Linked DNA regions of Ovis aries. The main gene of each other region encodes a partner of the protein of the gene in region 2 in a complex. Links are inferred from orthologs where the notes say so. Each region holds a gene or a part of one and is shown on either strand. Other genes may lie near its edges.

Region 1 (11,590 bases), on a different chromosome or scaffold from region 2:
ACGGTGAGGAAAATGGCAAGACGATCCAATTTCTTCAAACATAAAACGGGGGAATCAGGAGACCCTCAGCCAGCTGCTCCAGGTGGACCTTGCTGGGGACCCGATTCAGGCAAGAAACTGTCACAGACGCCTCTGGCCCCGGGGGAGTGGGGACGCGGGGTGTCGCACTGCTGAGGGGTCCCTGCCTTCCCTGGTGTGACGGCATCACCATGGGAGCGAGCCGTTACGAAGCAGCCTTATCTTTTAGAGGCTCATCCTGAAATCTCTGTGGTGCCCTGTGATGTCGGCTGGGGGCACCTACGGGACTAGGGAAAACCGAAGAGCCAGCTGGCGCGGCAGGGGGCGCGAGGGTGGGCGCCTCCGCGAGGCCGCGTCTACGCAGGGAGCGGGCTGGGGGCGGGGCACCGCTCTCCTGGATTCACTCCATTCGGGAGGCGGGGACCCGGCTGGAGAGAGCCTCCCGCTACTGGAGACTTTCTCCTGCCGCGCCCTGGGCTGGGCGGGACCTCGGGGGGAGCCAAGGACCGGCTGGAAGATGCTGCTGACCGGGCCCCGGGGGGACGCCCGGGGCGGGCAGGACCTGGCCTGGGGCAGAGGCAGCAGATTCGCTGGGGAGGGACGGGGGAGGGGGGCACGGAGCTGGCGCGCGGGGTGCCTCTCGGGTCGGCTTGGGGGACCCACTGGGCTGGGGTTGGGAGCGTCAGGCACAGTCTGCTGGAGGCAGTGCGGCCTTGCTGGCAGAGGTGACGCCTGAACACGCCACCGGGCGGGGTCAGCAGGGAGTGACCGCGGCCGGGCAGGGCGGAGCACAGAGGTCCAGGCCAGGAGGGGTGGGCTGGGGGCGGGGAGTGGGAGGGGTCTGGGGGCGCACTCACCGCGGAGACACCGCTCCTGCACTCCAGGAGAGCCTCCAGCATGGTGTTCGCCTGTGAGGGGGTGGGCGTGGGACTCACCTGACCGGCTGGCCCCGCTGACCGTCCCCATCGCCCAGCTGAGGAGACGAGCGCGGCAGGTGCTGGCTCGGGGTCTGTGTCCCCCGCCCTGCGTCCAGCGGGCGTCAGGGCCCGGCAGCTTGACTCCCTGAGGGGCCCACCCCCGAGACCAGGCCCTCAGCCAAGCCAGGGGGCCCAAGAGGCCCCATGGGCAAACTGAGACCCAGAGATCCCCAGAGAGCTGGGGAGGAGTGTCAGTGCCCAGGGGGGTCCCACGGGAGTCCCTGCTGCCCCCACGGGCACAGCCAGCCTGGGTCTGCTGTCCTCACCTCATAGTCCGGGGTCACGTTGAGAAACAGCTGATTCCCCTGGATCCGAAACGCAAAAGGGGTGGACGAGGGTCCAAGGGTCACCTGCTGGCCCTCGGGGACGTAGATGTCCAGGAGGGGCTCCCCGGGGTTCGTGTTCTCCTCGACTGTGAGGAAGGTCTTCTCCACGGAGCAGACTGGACGTTGGGGAGGAAGGGTCGGTGCCGCCAGCCCCCCGCGCCCCGCCCAGGCCCCTGCCCTCGCCCCGCCCAGCCCCCGCCCGCGCCCTGCCCAGCCCCCTGCCCTGCCCGGCCCCGTCCCCTCCACACCTGTACCCTGGGCCTGGGCCTCAGCAGCAAACAGCAGCGGGAGCAGCAGGACCCAGGTCCCCATCTGGGCGGTGGCGGCGGGCGGCCCGCGGAGGGTCCGAGCCCGTCTGGTGTCCAGGACTTGTTGAGCCGCCCGGGTGCTGCCTGGTGCATTCTCCTCCCGGGTGACCTTCGCCCCGCCAGACGCCGCCCCACTTTATGGTCCTTGACAACTGCCGGCTGCAGGCCTGGCCTCCACCAAGGGGGCCCTCGTCTGCCGCCGGCCAGGCCCCTCTGACCGCAAGGAGGGGGAGACCAGATCCAGGCCGCGTACAGGGGCTGACGGGGCTTACCCCACTGACCCCGAGACAGAGGAGCTCACAGCGGGGCAGGGGCAGCGGATCCGGGGCTTGGACTGGGGAGGTGGGGGACTGGCTTCTGTGCTCGCCGTATTCCCGCCCCACCCCCACGAAGAATGCCCCTCTGCTGGGCTCCTCTGCCAGAATGATCACAGGCGCAGTGCCAGGAGTCAGCCCTGTGAGGTCCAGGCCCACCTCCTCTCCTTACTCAACCCTCTAGGTCTGGAAGGGAAAGGTTATTTGTGTTATTTGTGTCTCAGGGACTCCTCTGCTGTCCCAGAAACAAGCTGGCTTCCTCCAGGCAAGGCTGGCTGAGCCCACCGTGACAGAGACGGAGTGTTCCAGGAGCAGCTGGCAGCTCTGGGGGGGCACCCTGGGTGCCAACAGAGGGGCATCCTGGTGAGGAACCTTAGCCCAGGCCCCCAAGCATCCTGCCTCCATTTCCTTGGCCACCTAAGTTCAGTAGGTGGGAGACAGCAATGGGTGGGGTCCAGGAGGGGAGAAGGGCCTGCTGTGATGGGGCGTGGGGTGGAGTCTTCCCCACCTCCTGGCCTGAAACACCTTCCCGGAGCAGCCCTGCCAGCACCCCTGGTCCTCCAAGCCCTCCTGCAACCCTGGCACTTCCTGGGCTGTCGTCACCGGCCCTGCCCCACAGGCCCCGGGTAGTCAAGGCACTCTGCCAGACGGCAGGCCGGGACACAGGGCCTGAGTCATGCTCAGGTCCTTCCACTGGGGAGTGGCCTCCTGGGCGACGTCTCCTGCCTGTCACCTCTTCCTGCTTGGCTGAGCCTCCCTGCCCTGTCCTCGCCCCTTGCTAGGCTTCAAGAGTACGTGAACCGAGAACTTCCAGATGTCCAAGCTGGATTTAGAAGAGGCAGAAGAACCAAAGATCAAATTGCCAACATCCATTGGATCATAGAAAAAGCAAGAGAATTCCAGAAAAACATCTACTTCTGCTTTATTGACTACGCTAAAGCCTTTGACTGTGCAGATCACAATGGACTATGGAAAAATTCTTAAAGAGATGGGAATACCAGACCACCTTACCTGCTTCCTGTCAAACCTGTATGCGGGTCAAAAAGCAAGTTAGAACCAGACATGGAACAATGGACTGGTCCAAAATTGGGAAAGGAGTACGTCAAGCTTGTATATTGTTGCCCTGCTTATTTGGTCCCATCACTTCATGGCAAATAGATGGGGAAACAATGGAAAGAATGAGAGACTTTATTTTCCTGGGCTTGAAAATCACTCTGGACGATGACTGTGGCCATGAAATTAAAAGACGCTTGCTCCTTGGAAGAAAAGCTATGACAAACCTAGACAGCATATTGAAAAACAGAGGTGTCACTTTACCTACAAAGGTCCATATAGGCAAAGCTATGGTTTTTCACGTACAGATCTGAGAGCTGGAAAATAAGAAAGGCTGAGTGCCAAAGAATTGATGCCTTTGAACTGTGATGTTGAAGACTCTTGAGAGTCCCTTGGACTGCAAGGAGGTCAAACCAGTCAATCCTAAAGGAAATCAACCCTGAATATTCATTGAAGGACTGATGCTGAAGCTGAAGCTCCAATCCTTTGGCCACCTGATGCAAAGAACTGACTCACTAGAAAAGACTCTGGTGCTGGGAAAGAGTGAAGACAGGAGGAGAAGGGGATGACAGAGGATGAGATGGTTGGATGGCATCACTGTCTCAGTGGACATGAGTTTGAGCAAACTCTGGGAGATGGTGAAGGACAGGAAAGCCTGGTGTGCTGCAGTCCATGGGATAACAAAGAGTCAGACATGACTGAGCGACTGAAGAACAGCCTTGCCCCCTCATTGCTGCCTCCCTGGGAAAGGAGCTGGGGGACATGTGAGCCCCCCACGGTCTCTGAATGTTTGCTGTGTGGATGGCAGGGGTGCAGCCAGCTCCCAGGGAGCCCAGGGGATGGGCAGCAGATAAGGAAGTGGGCAGATGAAGCTCCCCACTGGCTTCCCAGGTTTAAAGGGCAGCTGGGTGTGGCCACCATCTTAGACTCTGGAGGACAGGGCCCTCCCTCCCTGGACAGCCGCACACCACAGGTGCTTTGAGAGTACCAGACGGCAGTGCACAAAGAGAGTTCAGGGGGCTAGGGTCTGAATTCCTCCTTTATTGGTGCCAGATGCAACCCCTCCCCCTCCTCCCACCCCCTCCTCTGTCCAGGCCCCCCTCCGGAGGGTCCTTCTTCCTCAGGGCCTCATCGGGTCCCCTCAGCAGTCGGGACGGCCGGCTTGGACATCATGACCCCTGCCTTCAGTGCAAGAGGCAGCTGGGAAGACCAGGCTTGACCCTCGGGGGGCCTCAGGGGCGCCCTGCAGAGACAGCCGGGTTAAGGGTTGCGGTCTTGGTGCGGGAGACCACGCCCACCTGGGGACAGCAGGCCTCTCTGGTCACCGGCGCCGGCAGTTTCCCCTTCCCAGGCTCCCGGACCGTGCTTGTGTCCAGCTGTGCCCGAGACCCAGGGTGCCTCAGGGAGGGAGGCGCTGGAGGAGGGATGGGGAAGGGCCGCTGCTCACCAAGCCTGCAGGGCGGGCGCGTCCGACCACAGCAGGCATAGCGGGCCCTCCGCAGACTTGGTCCAGGCTGTGCTGTTCTCTGTGTCCTGCTCGCTGCCCCCCATCCCAAGTCAGGATTAGTCTGGAGTCGGGGGGCTCCCCCACCGCGTCGCTTGTCCCCCGCCAGCCCCTTACCGGCCCTCTCCACCAGGCCCCGCCCCTCGTCCGCCTTCCCTTCAGGCCCCTCCCCTCGCCCGCCTTTCCCTCAGGCCCCGCCCCTCGCCCGCCTTCCCCCACCAGGCCCCGCCCCTCGCCCGCCTTTCCCTCAGGCCCCGCCCCTCGCCCGCCTTTCCCTCAGGCCCCGCCCCTCGCCCGCCTTTCCCTCAGGCCCCGCCCCTCGCCCGCCTTTCCCTCAGGCCCCCCCCGCTCCTCACCTACGTTTCTCCTCTAGGCCCCGCCCCTCACCTGCTTTTACCCCCCCAGACCCCGCCCCTCACCTGCGTTTCCCCACCAGGCCCTGCAGCAGCCGCTGCAGCCGCGCGCTGTCCCTTAGGCGGCTGAGCTCGCTCGTGAACGTCCCGTCCGAGTGTCGCGGGGCCCTGCGGAGGGGACGGGAGGGCGGCCGCGGGTGGTCAGGGCCGGGCGGGGGCAGGATGGGCTGGGGGAGTGGGCGCAGGCCCCGGGCCGCAGGCTCACCTGGGGGGCGCGGGGCGCGCGGCGCAGCTTCCGAGCAGCAGCGGCGGCAGCAGCAGCAGCAGGGCCAGCGTAGCCATGGTGCGCTCCGGAACGGGCTGAGCAGCCGCGAGGCCCGGGCCCCTTTATAGCGGCGCCCGGAGAGGGAGCCGGGCGGGCGGGCGGGCGGGGGTCAGCGCCGCCCCGGCTCCGCGCCGCCAGAGCCGCGCCCCATCGATCGCGCGGGAAGGTCAGGGCCGCCCCCGCAGCTGTCGCCCCGGCAGCCCGCCCGCCCCTAGCGCCGCGGTGGCGCCCCTCGGCAGGCCGGCGGGGTTCGGGCGCCCGGGGACCAGGGGACCCCGGTGGGGGCGGCGGGCGGAACCTGCAGGGGGACGGCCTGTGCGAAGCTTAGAGGCGCCAGCGGAGGCCCGATGAGGCGGTCCAGAGGGCCTGGAGGGGACTCAGGCCGAGGCCACCGAAGCCGCGGACCGAGTGACCTTTCCCCAGTCTTCGGACGCGGCACGGCGCGGGGAGCTGCGGGCAGCTTGGGGCTGGAGGGCTGCGGCCGAGCGAAACCAGGGCCTGGGGCGCCTGGGCCTTCGTGTGCGGTTCTGCAGGCGGGAGATCTGAGCCTACCTGAGCCTACCTCGGTCGGCCTTTCTACAACCAGCACCTCTGAAATCCTGGCACAGAAACTGCGAATCAAGTCAGTGGAGTTATAAACCAGCAGCTCTTGTGTTAAACTTCATGTGCATTCTAAAAGTAGTCCGCAGACTTGGTTTTTTAGAACAGTTTTAGGTTTACAGAAAAATCGAGCTGAAAGTACGAATTCACACACACACACACACACACACACACACACCCAGGCTCACCAACAGGGCGCATTCATTTAGGACATTTGTTACAAATGATGAACCAATATCGCACATTATTGTTAACTACATCCGGGGTTTTCCGTTACTAGTCATCTTGGTGTTACATATTCTATGGGCTTTGACAAATGTATAATAACAGGAATCCACTAGTGTGGACGCTACCTCACAGAGCTTTCCTGCCCTGAAGATCCCCTTAACGCCACCTGCCTGTCCTTCCCTCTGTCCCCAGCGCCTGTTTACTGTTTCTGTTCAGTTCAGGTCAGTTGCTCAGTCGTGTCCGACTCTGCGACCCCATGAATCGCAGCACACCAAGCCTCCCTGTCCATCACCAACTCCCGGAGTTCACTCAGACTCACGTCCATCGAGTCAGTGATGCCATCCAGCCATCTCATCCTCTGTCGTTCCCTTCTCCTCCTGCCCCCAATCCCTCCCAGCATCAGAGTCTTTTCCAATGAGTCAACTCTTCGCATGAGGTGGCCAAAGTACTGGAGTTTCAGCTTTAGCATCAGTCCTTCCAGTGAACACCCAGGACTGATCTCCTTCAGAATGGACTGGTTGGATCTCCTTGCAGCCCAGGGGACTCTCAGGAGTCTTCTCACCTTTTCAGGAGTGCCATGTGGTTGGAGTTGTACAGTGTGTGTGTGGCCTTTTCTCATTGGCTTCTTTCTCTTACACAGATCTAAGTTTCCTCCATGTCTTTTCATGGGTTGACAGCTCATTTCCTTTTGGTGCTGAATAATACTCCACTGTCTGAGACACCAGCTTATTTATACTCTCACCTCCTAAAGGACATCTTGGCTTGCTTTGGTTGCTTCCAGATTTTGGCAATTATGAGTAAAGCTGCTGTAAACGTCTACACACAGGTTTTCGTGTGGATGTAAGTTTTCAGCTCCTTTGGGTGAACATCAAGGGCCGTGATTGCCGGATTGCAAGGTAAGAGTATGTTTGGCTTTGCAGAAAGCCACCAAGTGGTCTTCCAAAGTGGCTGCACCAGTCTCTCATCCCCCCTGCAGCATGGGTCGTGGTATCTCATTGTCTTCTGTGTTTGTATTTTTAAACAGCTGCTGTGGCCTCTTCTTGCACAAATTTGGCAGATTACAACCCCTAAACTTTAGCAGCATTGACCAGTTAATCACTTTCATGAGAATACTCAAAACCGTAGTACTCATTCATATTTTTTAGCACCTCAAACACTTAAGTGACCAGGCAGCTCTTCATAGGAAGGATCTTCCTATCTTAAAAAAAAAAAAAATCAGCATGCAGGCATATTGACTTCTAAAAAATTAACATACAGTAAAAGATGAATTATGACATGTCTGGATAGAGTGAGTGCCACCATAATCGGGATACAGGACAAGCCCATTGCCCCAAAGAACTGCCTCCTGCTGCCCACAGAAAGGGTCCACTCTGTTATACAACTTAGCGGCTGAAAAACAGCAGCTTAGTGGGCAGCAGCTTAGGGCACACCCGCTGTCCTACGCTGCTCTGATCACAGCAGCTCCAGGTCCCAAGCGGTCACTAGTGCAGAAGGGCAGGCAGGCTGAGGCGAGGCCTGAGCGGCAGAGCCGGGCGGGGCTGAGGCAAGGAGGGGCAGGCAGGCCCGCGGGGGCCAGTCGTGGGGGAGCTTGTAACCAGCTGCCCCCGTCACATCTGAACAGCCGTGCCCCACTGTGCCTGCTGCTGGCACTCTCTCCAGACGGCTCCCGGCCAGTGTCCTCCACACCCACATGTAGCCGGCTCAGCACTTCACGCTGAAATGCAGCAGATAAGGTGGACTGGCCTCTGATGGGAACTGGAGAAGCAAGCAAGGCGCGGCTCAGGCCTGGCCTGGTTTGGACCCTACTTTGCAACAGAAGCTACATGACAAATACCACGTGGGACCCACAGATTCCAGGGAGAGCACCAGGGTTTCCCGGGACGTCAAGCCCAGCTAGGTCCTTGTTACGGGCACACAGAAAACAGTCAGGTTACATGAATAGCTATTCAAAGCCTCAGATCAGACATCATTCTGTGTGCGGGATCCTAATAATGGCCAGTTTCAGGGTCCAGGATTCTCCTTTTTTTTTTTTTTTTTTTGGCAGGCTTGGATCTTAGTTCCTGACCAGGGATCAAACCCAGGCCCTCTGCAGTGAGAACACAGAGGCCTTTGCACTGGTCCCCCAGAGAATTCACAGGGTCGAAGATTGTGAGGAAGAAAAAGCAGCTTTATTTTTTCACAGTAGAACATAGGCGGGAACATAGTCAAGGCCTAAGAATATATCTCACTATGACACAGTTTTATTCTCTGAATACTAAATCACCAAAAATATTCTGTTTTGGGGGGTTTAACTAAGATTTAAATGAGCTTGCCTGGTGACTCAAACAGTACAGAGTCTGCGTCCAATGTGGGAGATCTGGGTTCGATCCCTGGGTCAAGAAGATCCTCTGGAGGAGGAAATGGCAACTCACTCCAGTGTTCTTGCCTGGAGAATTCCATAGACTGAGGAGCCTGGCAGGCTGCAGTCCATGGGGTTGTGAAGAGTTAGACACGACTGAGCGGCTAACACTGCTACTGCTAAGGTTTAAATGGCAAGTTTAACGGCGCCTACTCTTAGCTCTGCATTAGGAGTGTTGCGGGAGGGCACTGGAGAGAACTCTTCTTTCAGGTCTGTGACTGCTTCTTTCACAGACCTGCAGAAGCCAGTGTCTTAGGCTACCTTTGGCTGAGTGCTTCAGGATATGAACCTGGGGCCCAGACTTGTTCAGTCGCTAAGTCGTGTAATAGACTCTAACCTTTCTGTGGCTTTGACGAACGTCCCGTTTTACAGAGCAGAAAAAGAAAGATCACTTTACTCCTTACAGAGAATTAAAGACATACAAAAGTAGACAAACTCCCAGGTACCATTACTCAGCTTCAACAATTTACAGCCACTCTTACCCACCCCTACTGACTTTCTTTATTTTTTCAACTTAATTTTGGAGCAGATCTCAGAGCTTGTATCAGCTCACCTGTGAGGATTTCAGTATGTAGCTCAAAAAGGTAACGACTGTGGATTGTCAGCTACCCGACAGATCGTCAGGGAGTCTGGCTGACCAACCAAGCTGAGTTATCTGAGTTACCAAACGTGAGCCGGGAAGGGCAGGGGCTGGGAAAGGTCGAAGGGGTGTCGGGGGGAGGTTGTTACAGGGTGCAGTTGCTGTAAGAAGGGTCTTTTAAGGCAGGAAACTGATAGGTACTGAGAAAAGGTTATGAATAGTTTAGGACTGGTGAGCACAGGGGGACAACGTTCTTCACGTTAATATGAGGAAACTCAGAATGTTTCCCTATTTCTTGTCTCCTGAGTAAATAACAACATAATATATTACCATATATTACCTCCCAAAGCGTCATCGTTTTACATTTCGGATGCAGATCTGAGATTCCTGCGGTGCGTGGTGTTAAGTGGTGGCGCAGCTTTGCTTTTTTCCGCGCGGCTCTCTGCTGTCTTTCGGTGTTGCCGCCGTGGACCAGCCGTCTGTATGCACTTGGACCCATGGCTATGCTCTCCGTGCGCGCCGTCTGCCCGACTGTCACCCCCCAACTGCTTTGGCTACAATACCTCCGTTAATTCCCCCTCCTAATTACAGTACTTTTATAAGTCTTCATATCTGACAGATCAAATTCATTCACCTTGCTTTTCTTCAAGAGTGTCTTGGCTATTTTTGACCTTCTGAGATCAGTTCAGTCACTCAGTCATGTCCAACTCTTTGAGACTGCATCAACTGTCTAGGGCCATACCACCCTGAACGCACCTGATCTTGGAAGCTAAGCAGGGTCATTGAATTAGACAAGGCTGTGGTCCTAGTGTGATTAGATTGCCTAGTTTTCTGTGAGTATGGTTTCAGTGTGTTTGCCCTCTGATGCCCTCTTGCAACACCTACCATCTTACTTGGATTTCTCTTACCTTGGACGTGGGGGTATCTCTTCACGGCTGCTCCAGCAAGGCACAGCCACTGCTCCTTACCTTGGATGAGGGATATCTCCTTACCGCCACCGTTCCTGACCTTCAACGTGGGATAGCTCCTCTAGGCCCAGACAGGCAGGTCATGGTGGAGAGGTCTGACACAGCGTGGTCCACTGGAGAAAGGAATGGCAAGCCACTTCAGTATTCTTGCCTTGAGAACCCCATGAACAGTAGGAAAAGGCAAAATGATAGGATACTGAAAGAGGAGCTCCCCAGGTCAGTAGGTGCCCAACATGCTACTGGAGATCAGAGGAGAAATAACTCCAGAAAGAATGAAGGGATGAAGCCAAAGCAAAAACAATACCCAGCTGTGGATGTGACTGGTGATAGAAGCAAGGTCGGATGCTGTAAAGAGCAATATTGCATAGGAACCTGGAATGTCAGGTCCATGAATCAAGGCAAATTGGAAGTGGTCAAACAGGAGATGGCAAGGGTGAACGTCGACATTCCAGGAATCAGCAAATTTATGGACTGGAATGGGTGAATTTAACTCGGATGACCATTGTATCTACTACTGTGGGCAGGAATCCCTCAGAAGAAATGGAGTAGCCATCATGGTCAACAAAAGAGTCCAAAGTGCAGTACCTGGATGCAATCTCAAAAATGACAGAATGATCTCTGTTCGTCTCCAAGGAAAACCAATATCACGGTTATCCAAGTCTATGCCCCAACCAGTAATGCTGAAGAAGCTGAAGTTGAACAGTTTTATGAAGACCTACAAGACCTTTTAGAACTAACACCCCAAAAAGATGTCCTTTTCATTATAGGGGACTGGAATGCAAAAGTAGGAAGTCAAGAAACACCTGGAGTAACAGGCAAATTTGGCCTTGGAATGCGGAATGAAGCAGGGCAAAGACTAATAGAGTTTTGCCAAGAAAATGCACTGGTCATAGCAAACACCCTCTTCCAACAACACAAGAGAAGACTCTACACATGGACATCACCAGATGGTCAACACCGAAATCAGATTGATTATATTCTTTGCAGCCAAAGATGGAGAAGCTCTATACAGTCAGCAAAAACAAGACCAGGAGCTGACTGTGGCTCAGAACATGAACTCCTTATTACCAAATTCAGGCTTAAATTGAAGAAAGTAGGGAAAACTGCTAGACCATTCAGGTATGACCTCAGTCAAATCCCTTATGATTATACAGTGGAAGTGAGAAATAGATTTAAGGGACTAGATCTGATAGATAGAGTGCCTGATGAACTATGGAACGAGGTTCGTGACACTGTACAGGAGACAGGGATGAAGACCATCCCCATGGAAAAGAAATGCAAAAAAGCAAAATGGCTGTCTGGGGAGGCCTTACAAATAGCTGTGAAGAGAAGAGAAGCAAAAAGCAAAGGAGAAAAGGAAAAATATAAGCATCTGAATGCAGAGTTCCAAAGAACAGCAAGAAGAGATAAGAAAGCCTTCTTCAGCGATCAGTGCAAAGAAATAGAGGAAAACAACAGATTGGGAAAGACTAGAGATCTCTTCAAGAAAATTAGAGATACCAAGGGAACATTTCATAGAAAGATGGGCTCGATAAAGGACAGAATGGTATGGACCTAACAGAAGCAGAAGATATTAAGAAGAGGTGGCAAGAATACACGGAAGAACTGTACAAAAAGATCTTCACGACCCAGAGAGTC
Region 2 (12,665 bases):
AAGACAAGTAGAAATCTTACCCTTTCAGCCAGACACACACAATCCATCACACACATGCTAACTGTCTTTACCAAAGGAAAAACAAAACTCTGATCTTTTTGACAAGCTGGAAAATTACAACTTGGAGTCAAGCATGTAGGCTGAACTCCCACAGTATTAGGAAGACAGGGCACCATTCTCCTGGACAATCATGTTTCAAAGAGAAAGTTTTAAGATCTTCAAGAATGACGGTCCTGGGATGCAAAACTGGCAACAGGCTTATTTAGCTTTTATAAAGATTTACATACATCTCAGAGACAGAGGCGGAGAAGGTGATGGCACCCCACTCCAGTACTCTTGCCTGGCAAATCCCATGGACAGAGGAGCCTGGTAGGCTGCAGTCCATGGGGTCGTGAAGAGTCGGACACGACTAAGTGACTTCCCTTTCACTTTTCACTTTCATGCATTGGAGAAGGAAATGGCAACCCACTCCAGTGTTCTTGCCTGGAGAATCCCAGGGACGGGGGGAGCCTGGTGGGCTGCCGTCTCTGGGGTCACACAGAGTTGCACACGACTGAAGCGACTTAGCAGCAGCAGCAGCAGAGACAGAGGGGATTTACAAGTTTTCTAAGGGAAATGCTGAAGGAAAAGGGAGAGAAGAAAAGCTTTCTTTCTCTTTTGACACTAGGGAAATTTTTATATTTTAGTGTGGCGGGGGGAGAAATCTTATTCTTTCTCCTCTCTCAGGTTCAATGGCTGAAGCCTGAAATCAATCTGACAAGACAGATTAACAAGAGAAAAAGTTTTAATTGCCCAGATAGGCACAGGATTTCACAAGGAGATTTCACAGAGCCCAGGAGGCAGCAAATGACTGAGGTTTCTACACTGTTTTAGGAAGTGTTTTGGGGCTTCTGGGTGGGGGAGGAGAGCTGGGAAGGTGGGAAGGAGATGGGGGAGCTGGACAGTAAAAGGGCTCCCCTTGTGTCCTCCTGTGCAGGTTAGACTCTTGCAGGTAAAAAGACCAGTTCTCTTCCTCTCCTCTCCTGTACAAATGAGTCCCTTTGTAAAAGAAATTTCCACTTCTTAAAAGTCTCCTTTACAAAGGGGCACTTTTGTACTTTACACTTTGGCATCTCTGGGGAGGTGAAGAGCTTTCCCTGTACCTGCTGGTTCTCAGTTGCCTTTGGCTCAAAACAATACTTATGCCAAAGTGGCATCTTTTGGCTAACATTCAGTATTTTTGACTATATTTCTGAATATAACATTCATATATTCTGCCTCCCTGGGGTGATAAAGACTATCCGTATGAAGCAGTAGAGAACAAGTCACCCTGGAACCAAATACATGATCTCCCATCCTCAGGGTAACTTAAAAATTTTTATTGAAGTATGGTCCTGAGTATTCACTGGAAGGGCTGATGCTGAAGCTGAAGCTCCAATACTTTGGCCACCTGATGCGAAGAACTGACTCATAGGGGAAGACCCTAATGCTGGGAAAGATTGAGGGCAGGAGAAGGGGACGACAGAGGATGAGATGTTGGATGGCATCACCAACTCGATGGACATGAGCTTGAGCAAGCTCTGGGAGTTGGTGATGGACAGGAAAGCCTGGCATGCTGCAGTCCATGAGGTCTCAAAGAGTTGGACATAACTGAGCGACTGAACTGAACTGATAGTTGATTTACAATGTTGTGTTATTAAACAGTTGCAAGTGTATACAAGGTGATTCAGTTGCATATATATATGTATATATATAGTAGTTTGTAATAACCCCGAACTCCTAATTTATCCCTCCCCCACCCCTCTTCCCTTTTAGTAATCTTAAATTCGTTCTCTGTGTCTGTCTTTGTTTCTGTTTTGTAAATAAGTTCATTTGTTTCACTTTTTTAGATTCCACATATAGTGATATCATATGATATTTGTCTTTCTCTGTTTGACTTATTTCACTTAGCATGGTAATCTCTAGGTCCATCCATGTTGCTGCAAATGGCATTATTTCATTCTTTTTATGGTTGAGTAATATTCCATTGTGTATATGTACCATATCTTCTTTATCCAATCCTTTGTGGATGGACATTTTAGGATGCTGTCAAGTCTTAGCTATTGTGAATAGTGTTGCTGTGAGCATTAGGGTGCATTATCTTTTTGAATTAAAGTTTCACGGTAACTTTTAAGTTACTGTTGTGAGAACGTGACTTGGAGTGTTTGGGGATGGTCATGACTTAGTTTCCTATGCCCCACTACACCTACCTCTCCAGTGTAATTTGGAGAAAGGAATGAGGCTCCAGACCTGGAAAAGCATCAGAATCAAAGAGACATCCCTCTCTGTTGCTCCTGGGAGTTATAATGGATTTAGAGGGTGGACATAAAGTATTTCCCCACAGCCCCACTAACAGCACTGGTATTAGTACTAGTACTACTAGTACTAGGGGTCTCACGTGCTCCTCCAGGATCTTCCTACTTTCCATCAAGAGGCAGAGTCTATGTTGCCTCTCCTAGAACCAGGACTGGCTTTTATGATTATTTGGACAACAAAACACAGTAGAAGCAGATGAGGCTGGGTCATAAATCACGGTGCACCTTCGACCTGCTCTCTCTCAGGACAAGCACCTTTGGGATCACGGTTTAAGAAGCCCAGACACCCTGAAGCTGCCTGGAGCTAGGACCACGTGGAGCAAGCCCAGCCCCAGTCATCCAAGAGAGCACGTCTCCAGGGGACTCTGACTGCCACCGCGTGAGATGTGCTAAACCAGGGAACTGCTGGCCGAGCCCAGCCAACCCCCAGGACTGTGAAGTGACGATAAATCACTGCTCTGATTTTCCAGCACTAGTTTCAGGTGTAACAGACATAAGCGTGGTGGAGAACTCAGGCTGGGAATCAAAAAACCAGAGTTTCAGAGCAAACAATCCTGTGTGATCTGCAGTTCAGGCCCCACCCATCTTCATCTGTTCAGGTTTCTTCATCTGTTAAATGGCTAGACTGATATATCCTAGTGGGGTTATTCTCCTTTTGCCTCATCCCTCTCAAATCTCTTTTCTGCCTTCTCCACCCAGGAGGGAGGTTAAACTCTATGGACATAGAGAAATGCTATGGACAGTTTCTCCCCAATCTGTCTGTCTTGTCTCTGGCTTTGGGTTGGGTTCAGCCAACGGAAGACATAGCCAGGAGATTCAGAGGGCAGAAGAGAGGTCAGGGTATTTATCTCGACACCTGACAGTTTTTCCATTTGTTTGTTTTGGTTGTACTATGAAGCATGTGGGATCTTGGTTCCTAAACCAGGGATGGAACCTGCACCCCCTGCAGCAGAAACACAGAGTCTTAACCACTGGACCACCAGGGAAGTCCCAGACTGTGGTTTTGACAGAGGCTGCATCCCCCTCTGGTTAAGATCCTATGGGTGGCTCCACTCCCAAGGATAGCTCTTGCCTGCTTGGGGAGACACTGCTTTCTCTCTTTGCTCCTTGTTAAAGGAAAATTATCCCGACATTTATTAAAATGGTAAAGAAGCCTTCATTCAAGACTGTTACAACAGGGGTGTTGCAACAGAGGAGAGAACCAGGGCTCAACTCAGAATATAACAAGAAACAAAGGGGATTTGTAGCTATGGAGCAGGGTGAGGGCAGCCATGGATGGACGATTACTAAGAGGAGACATCAAGACAGGGAGATTTCTGCTAAACTGACTTAACACCCTTCTTGCTAAAGGCAGGACAGGATTATCCATCAAAGGTGGGAGAGACAAGGAACTTGACGAGATATTAAGGGGGAAGATTCTCACTAACCCATGGCAGGAGTCTTGCTGAGGCAGGCCAAAGACAGGTGGGGCCAAGGTCAAAGCAGAAGAGGCGCAGAGGAGTCTGACCAGGCCTATCGCTGCTGACCCGGGCACCTGCATGTCCCCTGCTGGTTCCCTGAGCCTCACCCACACCTCTGCATGGCATCTTCTCATTAAACTTTCAATGATACCATGTGAGCAATGGAGTCTCCCTCTCCTGCAGCCCCTGATCGCTGGTCCTACAGACCCCACAGAGCTGTTTCAAGGATCAAATGAAATACTGCATGTAAAAGAGCTTTGGAAAGACTGAGAGTAATAAAGTCATCTTCAGGATTGAGAGAAGTTCTAGTGCCATGCAAAGGACGTGGGCCCGGGCTTCGGACTCAGTCCTGTGTTCAATCCAGGCCCTGCCCCTTGTTGGCTGCATTGTTGAGGCAAATGGTTACCTTTCCCAAGCCTCAAGTTCCCATCTGATTCATCAAGGAAAGTCAGTGTCTCTCAGACAGTCTTGGAGGATTGTCTATGATGATACACCCAATTATTAAAAAACTCCCCAGCACATGGTGGGTATTAAATACATGATTAGTTCCCCACATGCTCCCTTCCACCCTATTCTGAAACTGTGTTCTCAGGCAGGTTCTACAAAGCCACTGACGGCATCCATGGCTTCCCACAGAGCATTTCAGATCCTTTCCTCGATATTCTGAGAGACAGAGCCTCCTATTTAAGGAACAATGGCTTTCCACAGGCCAGAAATTGATTGAATTGCCCAGAACAAATGTCATTTTGCTTTTTCACTGGTGATCACGAGGCTCTGGTATAGAGCACAGATTGCATTTTGCATTATTTTCTTTTTTTGTCTTTCCATCAAAAAATCAATACATCCAGTCATTACAGAAACTATTCATCAACATGAAAGTCTATAAGTAAAAATGGCATATCCTTACCGCATGCACTTTTTCTAATGCACATTTATGATATCAGAGAAACTAGTTCATAACATTTCTCCAGCCTGAATCTTGAATCAATTGAGAAATATGAGGAAGACAATGGGACCCAATATCACTTTTGTTGGTGATAATGGTCTCAAAGAATGTGGTTTATACTTGTGGACCAGAGGGGAGAAACCACCACCTGCCACTGGCCACACTTGATCAATCAGTCAGAACCTTGACTTTCAAGAACAGCCTGGGCCAGGGCAATCCAGTTACTGGCTCTCTGCTGGTGGGGACGCTATGAAAGGAAAGGGTGTGTGTGTGTGTGTGTGTGTGTGTGTGCGCGCGCGCGCGTGTGCGAGAGTGTGTGCATGTGCATGTACACGTGCCCAGAATCTCATGCCAGTCCTTAAGCCAGGTAGAGCTCACCTCCCTTCCATGTGTGGGGAAGAGGGTGAGGGAGAGAAGTCAATGAGCTGATGGCCTTCAAGTGCCTGAGAAAAAGATCTAGATAGAAGGAGACACAAAAGGAAAGGGGATGTGCATCAGAGCAGGAAAAAAAAAAAAAAGGGTCTACAAAAACCCTCGGAAGGTGCCTTGTACTGTACTGAGAGGCCAAAGCCAACCTTCAGGAGATCCGATGAAGAAGGAAATGGCAACCCTCGCCAGTATTCTTGCCTGGAGAATCCCATGAACTGAGGAGCCTGGTGGGCTACAGTCCATGGCTTCGCAAGAAGTTGTACACGACTGAGTGACTAAACAACAAGGAGATCTAAGCCCTCAGACTCAGGATGAGCAGCTGCTGGGCACACCTGCCTAATACTGAAATAGCTCCCGGGGAAACCAGAAAGCACAAACGCTCCAGCACAGCCCCAAACGCTGGGGTGCACCGATGGTCCTCCTTGGTCTCACCTGATCATCAAAGGCTTCTCAGTGTGATGGAGCTCATATGTGTGCAACTTTCTGGAAGGAGCGTAAATATCTAATAAGAAAGAAAAAAAAGTGAAAATCGGAAATGGAGTAGCTGCCCCCGGAATAGTGCCATAGGGATTTAACGAGCACCGGCTGTGTCACAGGGCGCTAGTTCAAACTTTTCACCCAGAAGGCGGGTATTATTAGAGGTACTGTTCGGATGAGAACGCTGAGGCTCCAAAAGGTGGCCTCCTGCCCATCCTCACGCAGCGCAGCGGTGGCGGCGCTGACTCGGACCTTGGGGAGGGCTCTTTTAGTCCGTGGGGGTGTGGCAGCGGGGCCTGCCGACCACAGCCTGCGGGAGCCGCTTTAGGCCTCGCGTCCTCCCTCCACCTCCTCCGCAGCGCGCCTTCGCGCTGGCCCCCGCCAGCCGGCCAGCCAGCAGGGGTGGGTGGAGGAGCGCACGCCACGCCGCGCCGCGTCCTTATCAACCGGCAGGGCGGCGTGGTGCGGGGCCACCCGGTCAGGGGAGGCGCAGTCCCGGGCCCGCCGCGGGTGGGGCCATGGCTCCCATGGGCGCGGCGGCCAGCCGGGGTCCGAGAGGCGGCAGGGAGCGCTGAGTGCTGAGCGGCGGCGCGCGCGGGCAGGCGGCCGTCGGGGCGCCAGGGGAGCGCACGCGGCACCATGCGCCCCCGCCTGCCGCCACTGCCAGGGCTGCTGCTGCTAGCCTGCGCCGTGCGCGCGGTGAGTACGCGCCCTTCCGCGGGTCCCTCTAGGGGTGAGGGGTGGAGGGGCCCCACCAGATCTCCTGCTGGGCGGCGGGAGGCGTTTCTCCCCATCCTTTCCCCGCAACTATGATTTTTGTCTGCTCCTCTCAGGGGGGTCCTCTCCTCCGAAATAAAATCTGTATGTGCCCGGGCGCAGGCGGCGCTGAGATAACTTACCTTGCCCTTCACCCCACCCGGGCGCTCCTGGGCGGAAATTCGGAAGCCGCCCCGGCCGTGCCTTTTGTGTGCGGGCACTTTGCCTGCAGTATTTCCTTGAAACCTCATCATCGACTTTCGAAGTTGCTATTTTCACCCTCACTTTGCGGACAAGGAAAGCGAGACTTGGAAAGACCAAAAAAAAAAAAAACTTGCCCCGAGAAAAGACAGCTGGAACCCAGTCTGCCTGCCCCAGAGCCTTGCCATTTTGCACGGACAGCGGCTGCGGACGGGGAGACTTGAAAGCTTGGCCGTAACTGCCGGAGCTGTAACGCCAGCGTTTGCCGCTTCCTCCTTGGTCTTGTGGGTTTGGCTCCGCAGTGTCGATGGGTCTGGGGACTTCTGGGAGCAGCTGGTCTCCCTAAACCAGGTCCAGGGAGGAACTGGCAGAGAAAAGGGAAGGCAGCAGAGTGAGTGGCTTATGTTGCTTTCTCACAAACTCCAGGAGTCCTGGCCTCTGCCTGTGGGGTTTGTGAAAGAGGGTGGCTGCGGCCAGTGGGGAAGAAGGAGCGGTGAGGAAGGGGCGCACAGATTCCAGAACTTCCCCTTTCCACCAGCATTCCAAACAGGCCCCCCACCGCCTCAGTCCCAAGAAACTCCCCAGGGAAAGCACTTAGGAACTCAATTCCGAGCCTGAAATCTCTGTCCTGGGCAAACCCTTCCTGCAAACACATCAGTGGCCCTCCTGTGGTCCTCTCCTGGTTGGCTATAAGAAAGACCTGCTTCTGGAGCTGGTGGGAGTGTTGACACGCAGGAGGCACGGCTCCTGTGGTGTCCAGAGCGGGGTTTTCGGCTCTCCTATGCAGCTCCCTTGTGTTAATAACTTGGAGCCTCCTGTCCTCAGCGCTGCAGTTGGAAGGTGCTAGGACAACAGCACCTGCTTGCAAGTCTGAGCTCCCACTTTGGGGAAACGCCATCTGAGACATGGGGACAGTTCAAAGCCAAATTCAGCCTCTGAGTGTGTTATTTGGTGCCCAGAGCTGGGAGGCAGCCCTTTTGGTGACCTCACCCCACCTCCCGCCCACTGCCAGCCTCCTTTTTAAGTATCTGCAGTAACACTGCGGTTGTCAGAAGAAATCAACAAGTGGCTGGGTCTTCAGGACTAAGGTTCAATGTACATTTTAATCTCCAGCGTCATTTTAGGAATAAGCCCAGGGGAAAATGAGATCCCTTGGTTTAGGTCTTCCGTGTGCCTTGGAAGGATGCTTTATTATGCCTTGGTCCACTTTCCTCTTTTTACAGGGGAGCAAACTGATACCCACAGAGAGCAGGGACCTGCTCCTTATCAGTAAGTTTGTGGCAGCTCTGGGACTGGAGCCCAGATCTCGCCTTTCTCAACAGCCCAGGGCTGTGTCTGGGTTGTCGCTTGTCTTTGCTCACATCTTCCTCTACTCACGCACCACTTTATGTTCCTGCCAGGTGGTTTCCTGTGTGTAAGTCTTGGCTCTCTGGTGGCTTTATGGGCTTATCCAGATCTGAGGTTCACACTTCTTGGCAGAGAACTCTGTCAACAAATAGGGGTGGAATTGCCCGGCTTTGGTTGGAGGATTTCCCAGCCTATGGAACCCTGCTTTTTTCCTGTTTGAGTGGTCAGACATTTAATTTTGAAACTGAAGGACATTCAAACAATTCCTTATCATTTCATGCTTCGTCTTGGGGGAAATCATAGGCATCTTCCCAATTGGTGGTGGTGGGGGATCACTAAGGCCAAATTGCTTATTAGTACTCCCCCCAACTCCCCACCTTTTCACACAGAGATGTAGGGAGGGTCCCTTGCAAGTGGACTGAAAAGTGCTGGTGGCTGGTGGGGCAGTTTTTTGAGACTCCCATAAGAAACTCTGGCTTCACCTCCCCTTACTGTCCTCATCCATGTCTCTCATGAGAATTTTTACCTAGAACAGTATTGTCATTATTTACCAGCACACCTGTCCTTCCCGTCCTCCCCAATACGTTCACTTAGAGCTTGAACCTTGAGACTCAGTCGCACTCATCCTTTATCCTTAGAACCTGTCATATCAGAAGAAAGAGTCAATGACTGTGTGTGGGCTGAATGAATGAATGAAGTGATGGTGCTATCCATAGTGGCTGCCCTCATGTGGGGCACTTTCATGTAACAACAGGTAGTGAAGAATGACATCTTACAAGCAATCATTGCTTACAAAATTGCACATAAATCTGCCAGGCAAAGGTGCAGTCTCTCAGGGGAGGGCTTTTAAATCCAGGGCATCTTGCCAACTGCCCACCTGAGAACCTGAGTGTGTTAAGTGGGGTACAAGGGGCTACTTTTTCCTTCAAGCAGGGTTTCTTAACTTTGACACTGTAATTCTGGATATTAAATCTGAGCTTTCCACATGGGATGCTGGGACAAGAGCTATGCCCTCCCCTGGCATGGGAGGGAATGAGAGGGTGGAGATAGTGGTTAGAGAGAGGGGAGCAGGGGGTGCGGGTGCCCTGTACATTGTGTGCTGTCCAGCAGCGTCCCTGTACTCTGCCTACCAGAAGCTAGTATCTTCTCTCCGAGTTGTGCCAACAGAAATTGTCTCCAGACATTGCCAACTGTCCTCTGGGAGCAGGCAGGGCAAAACTGCCCTGGTTGAGAACTCCTGCCTTAAAAGTTATTATGTCTCAGGGGAAATGTGTGACCAAGATTCGCGATAGGTGTCACTGGATGTTGGGTTCAGGGTAGTGGGGTTGGTGACAGGGGATCTGAGCTGGAGACAGAAGCAGGTGTGCCAGTGAAAACCCATCTCCGGATGAGAAGACCTCTATAGGGCATGGGTTCCTTTGGCTTCTCCACCCTCCCTTCCCACTCCCCCGTGTCCCTCTTCATTTCTTCTCGGTTGATGGCTCAGAAACACAAAAACTCTAAGGTGGGGTCTGGCATGTGGTGGTCCCCACCCCTTTCTGGACTGCCTCTGGACCCAGAGGTTGACAAGCTGGGTTAGCAGAATTTTAAGAAGGCCTGCAAGGTCACCAGAGGATCTGACTACTGATGCCTCTTAGAGAAAAGTCACTGGGAGCTTTGTATCCCTGAACAATATTCCGAGGTAGTATTGTGGATTTCTTTTTGAGTTTTTGTTCTTCCTAAAAGTCATGTGACTGATGACCATGATGATGATGATGGTGAAGGCTTCCCTCAGTGCCTACTTCACACCAGATACTCTGCTAAGCTGTGCCTGGCACTACTTGACTTCTCTCACCAAGAGTCATCATCCTCACTGTGCATGTGAAGAAACTGAGATGTAGAAACAGGTGAAACCAATGGTCAAGTCACCCAGCTGACATGATGGTGTAAGGACTCAAAGCCAGCTGTGCTTAGCCAGCACGTGCATCTGCTTCCAAAGAGAGGCCGCTGGTTTTTGGCTTCCAAGGCACTGTCATGAAATCTTTCTCAAACCACAAAATGACAATAACTACAGTTTAATCTAATCACTTTATAAAAGGCAAATCAAATACAGAATTACACACAGCATTTTACTGAGGGTTGCCAGACATGAGTTTGGGGCCACAAATTCAAAAAAACAGGAGAGATGCTTCTCACACTGTTTAGGGGAGTCCTTTAGACTTTGGCACCCCCTTTACGAGTTGCTACAGAGCTCCCCTCCTGTCCCATCCCCCAAATCCCCTCCCTTGACACTGGAGGGCACAGGTCTCTTCCTGGCACCTCTTGTTGAAAGCCCAGATTCCACAACCAGGATTAGAGCTCTGCCCCCAGAGTGGCCTCTGGTTTGGCCCCTGCATCCCTGTCCTTAGCCAGCTGAGGTCACCACTGACCTTTGCTCAGGCTCTGGAAAAACCTGCAGCCCCAGATAAGACCCACAACACTCAGATTCTATCTACTTGCTTACATACAGAGTATATAAGTATTCATGAGGATATGAGAAAGCAGGAATCTCTTGGGGCCCACCCAGCTTCAATATTCCATGTCTGAAAGAGTCCAAGGAGCATCTGGGGAAGGGACCTCCCTGATGGGTCATCTGGTGGTTGTGCTGCCAGGATTCCTGAGTTTTCCAGACTTCTCCAGAATCACTGCATGCCCCACATCACTTCCCTCTCTCTCGGCTCCCCAAGGCTCCCCTTGGTGTCTTCAGAGATTTCTGACCTTACTACCTCCTTTCATTTTCAATAGATGGGTGTACCTCCCATATCCTGAGAGTCAGAGACTGAACTTCCTCTGAGCAGCATCTTGCCCTCACAGATGAATCTAAGTTGGACCCTCCTGTTCCTGTCCTCCTGCACCCAATGTCATGCCGTGCCAGAGCAGCACAGACTGAGGGGCTTGAACAGTGGAAATTTATCTTCTCGTAGGCCTGGAGGCTGGATATCCCAGATCATGGTTGGATTCTGGGAAGACCTCCCTCCCTGGCTTGTAGTTGGCTGCCTGGTCCTCATGTAACCTTTCCTCTGACTTCTGAGAGAGTGAGTTCACTGATATCTCTTGTAAGGATGTTAATCCTATCAGATTTGGGCCCCCTATGACCTTATTTGACCTTAATGAACTCCTCTGGGCCCTGTCTCCTAGCAGAGCCGCACCTGGGGTTAGGGAGTCAATACATTCTTTGAGGGACACAGACATTCAGCCTGCATCACACCTGAATGGAATAGAGGCTTTGCTCCAGCCCCATGCTCCTGACCTCTTCCCCACACCATGCTCAGTGACTTTCGTCCTGAGATGACACAGAGGTAGCCTTCATCCTGCTCCTCTTGACTGGATTTTCCATCAGCTAGTCAACCTGCCCAAGCCCATCCAGCCAAGTGGCAAAGGAACTTTACAGCTCTGGCCATGGTTCCTCCGCTACCGCTCATGGCCAGCATTTTGGAAGATGCATCTATGATCCCTGCCTCCACCTGTCCGTTCCTCAGCCTGCAGCACCCTGGCTCTCACCCGTTCCCTACTCGCATCAGTCTCACCAGGCCCTGCATTATCCCACTTTCCCTAGACAGGGCGTGGTCTGTGTCCCACCCAAGGGGAACACATGGTTGATGAGAGTTTGGACACTATGACTAATGACATCAAGGCAGCGAGCACACTCCCTGACTGTTCTGGGCAAGATGGGCAGGGCACCCATGGGACTCCAGCCTCTTAGAGACATTTGGTGCTGGGACACTCTGTCCCTCCCCCTCTTCCTCACCTTGGTGCCTGCCTTTCACAGGCTTGTGGTTCCCACTGTGCCTCAAATGAGGTTTTCCCTCTTTCGAGGTTTCCCCGTGTCACACGGTTCCTTCCTCTTGTGTGATCCCTCCTCCTGCATGGTCCCTCCTTTTGCTCATCTTCCCAGCCTGTGAGGGTCACTGTCTCAGGCACTGTCTCTGGCCCTTGCTCTCCTTATGCTTGCTGCTCTCTCTTACTATGTGTTTCCTTGCCCATCTTAAGGTGATGTAAATCCAACCTTAACCATGCTTATCTCACTTCAGCTGCTGCCGAACTCATATCTCTTGTCCTTGTTTTCCCTGTTGTTGGAGTTACTGAGGTACCCAAAGCAGACACATAGGAACGATGCTGGCCCCTGTCCTCAGCTGGCCCTCAGCCCCTGCTGGCCCCTGTCACATCTGTGCACATGCCCTCCGCTATGGGGGTGACTTCTCGCCTACGCGGTGCAGTGCCTCCCAGGGGTTTCCTGCCACTGCTTGTGGTCCATGGTTGCCTGCCCACTACCTTCCCGCATGCTCCCGCCACAGGTGCCTCTGGACCCCTTGGAGCCTGTGAGCTACGGCAATAAGATCTGTGTCTGCTCACCTTCGATTGCAGAGCATCCTAGGGACCCAGTAAGTGTTAGATGACATTTTGGGTTTGGAACTGGTTGTAGGATCGAGTTCCCTCTTTATTTGTCACTGTATAAACTAGACTAATATCTCTCTTTTTTCCCCTGTGAAACTATTCCTTTCCAGTCTCAGGTTGTCAGTTGACGAGCAAAGTGTGTTGAGTTTCTTCCCATCCTTTGGAATTCAGTAGCTTTTCATTGGAGAAGGTAATGGCAACCCACTCCAGTACTCTTGCCTGGAAAATCCTGTGGATGGAGGAGTCTGGTAGGCTGCAGTCCATGGGGTCGCTAAGAGTTGGACATGACTGAGCGACTTCACT

Evidence for each region.
Region 1: the proteins of SCTR (region 2) and SCT are in contact, whole or in part, in a cryo-EM structure (PDB 6WZG), measured with the Homo sapiens proteins. The link is inferred for Ovis aries from reciprocal best matches to the Homo sapiens genes SCTR and SCT. Residues at the interface, in NP_002971.2 of Homo sapiens: Arg30, Leu31, Cys32, Leu35, Asp71, Asn72, Pro117, Val125, Val127, Asn128, Asp129, Asn132, Arg135, His136, Leu139, Leu140, Leu142, Lys143, Tyr146, Tyr150, Arg188, Asn192, Lys195, Leu199, Phe200, Ser202, Asp203, Val205, Met219, Phe222; in NP_068739.1 of Homo sapiens: His28, Ser29, Asp30, Gly31, Thr32, Phe33, Thr34, Ser35, Glu36, Leu37, Ser38, Arg39, Leu40, Arg41, Glu42, Arg45, Leu46, Gln47, Arg48, Leu49, Leu50, Leu53, Val54.

The regions. Positions count from the first base shown.
Region 1 is NC_056074.1:47,057,177-47,068,766, reverse strand, and holds SCT (secretin), read right to left. Parts: upstream 5,216-11,590; 5' UTR 5,196-5,215; coding exon 5,119-5,195; intron 5,022-5,118; coding exon 4,920-5,021; intron 4,646-4,919; exon of another isoform or gene 4,537-4,645; coding exon 4,444-4,536; exon of another isoform or gene 4,240-4,443; coding exon 4,125-4,239; 3' UTR 4,018-4,124; downstream 1-4,017. Other genes in the region: CDHR5 (cadherin-related family member 5), read right to left, coding at 876-926, 1,262-1,437, 1,570-1,633. UniProt on the Homo sapiens protein: Hormone involved in different processes, such as regulation of the pH of the duodenal content, food intake and water homeostasis.
Region 2 is NC_056055.1:184,860,068-184,872,732, reverse strand, and holds the start of SCTR (secretin receptor), read left to right. Parts: upstream 1-6,086; 5' UTR 6,087-6,284; coding exon 6,285-6,344; intron 6,345-12,665.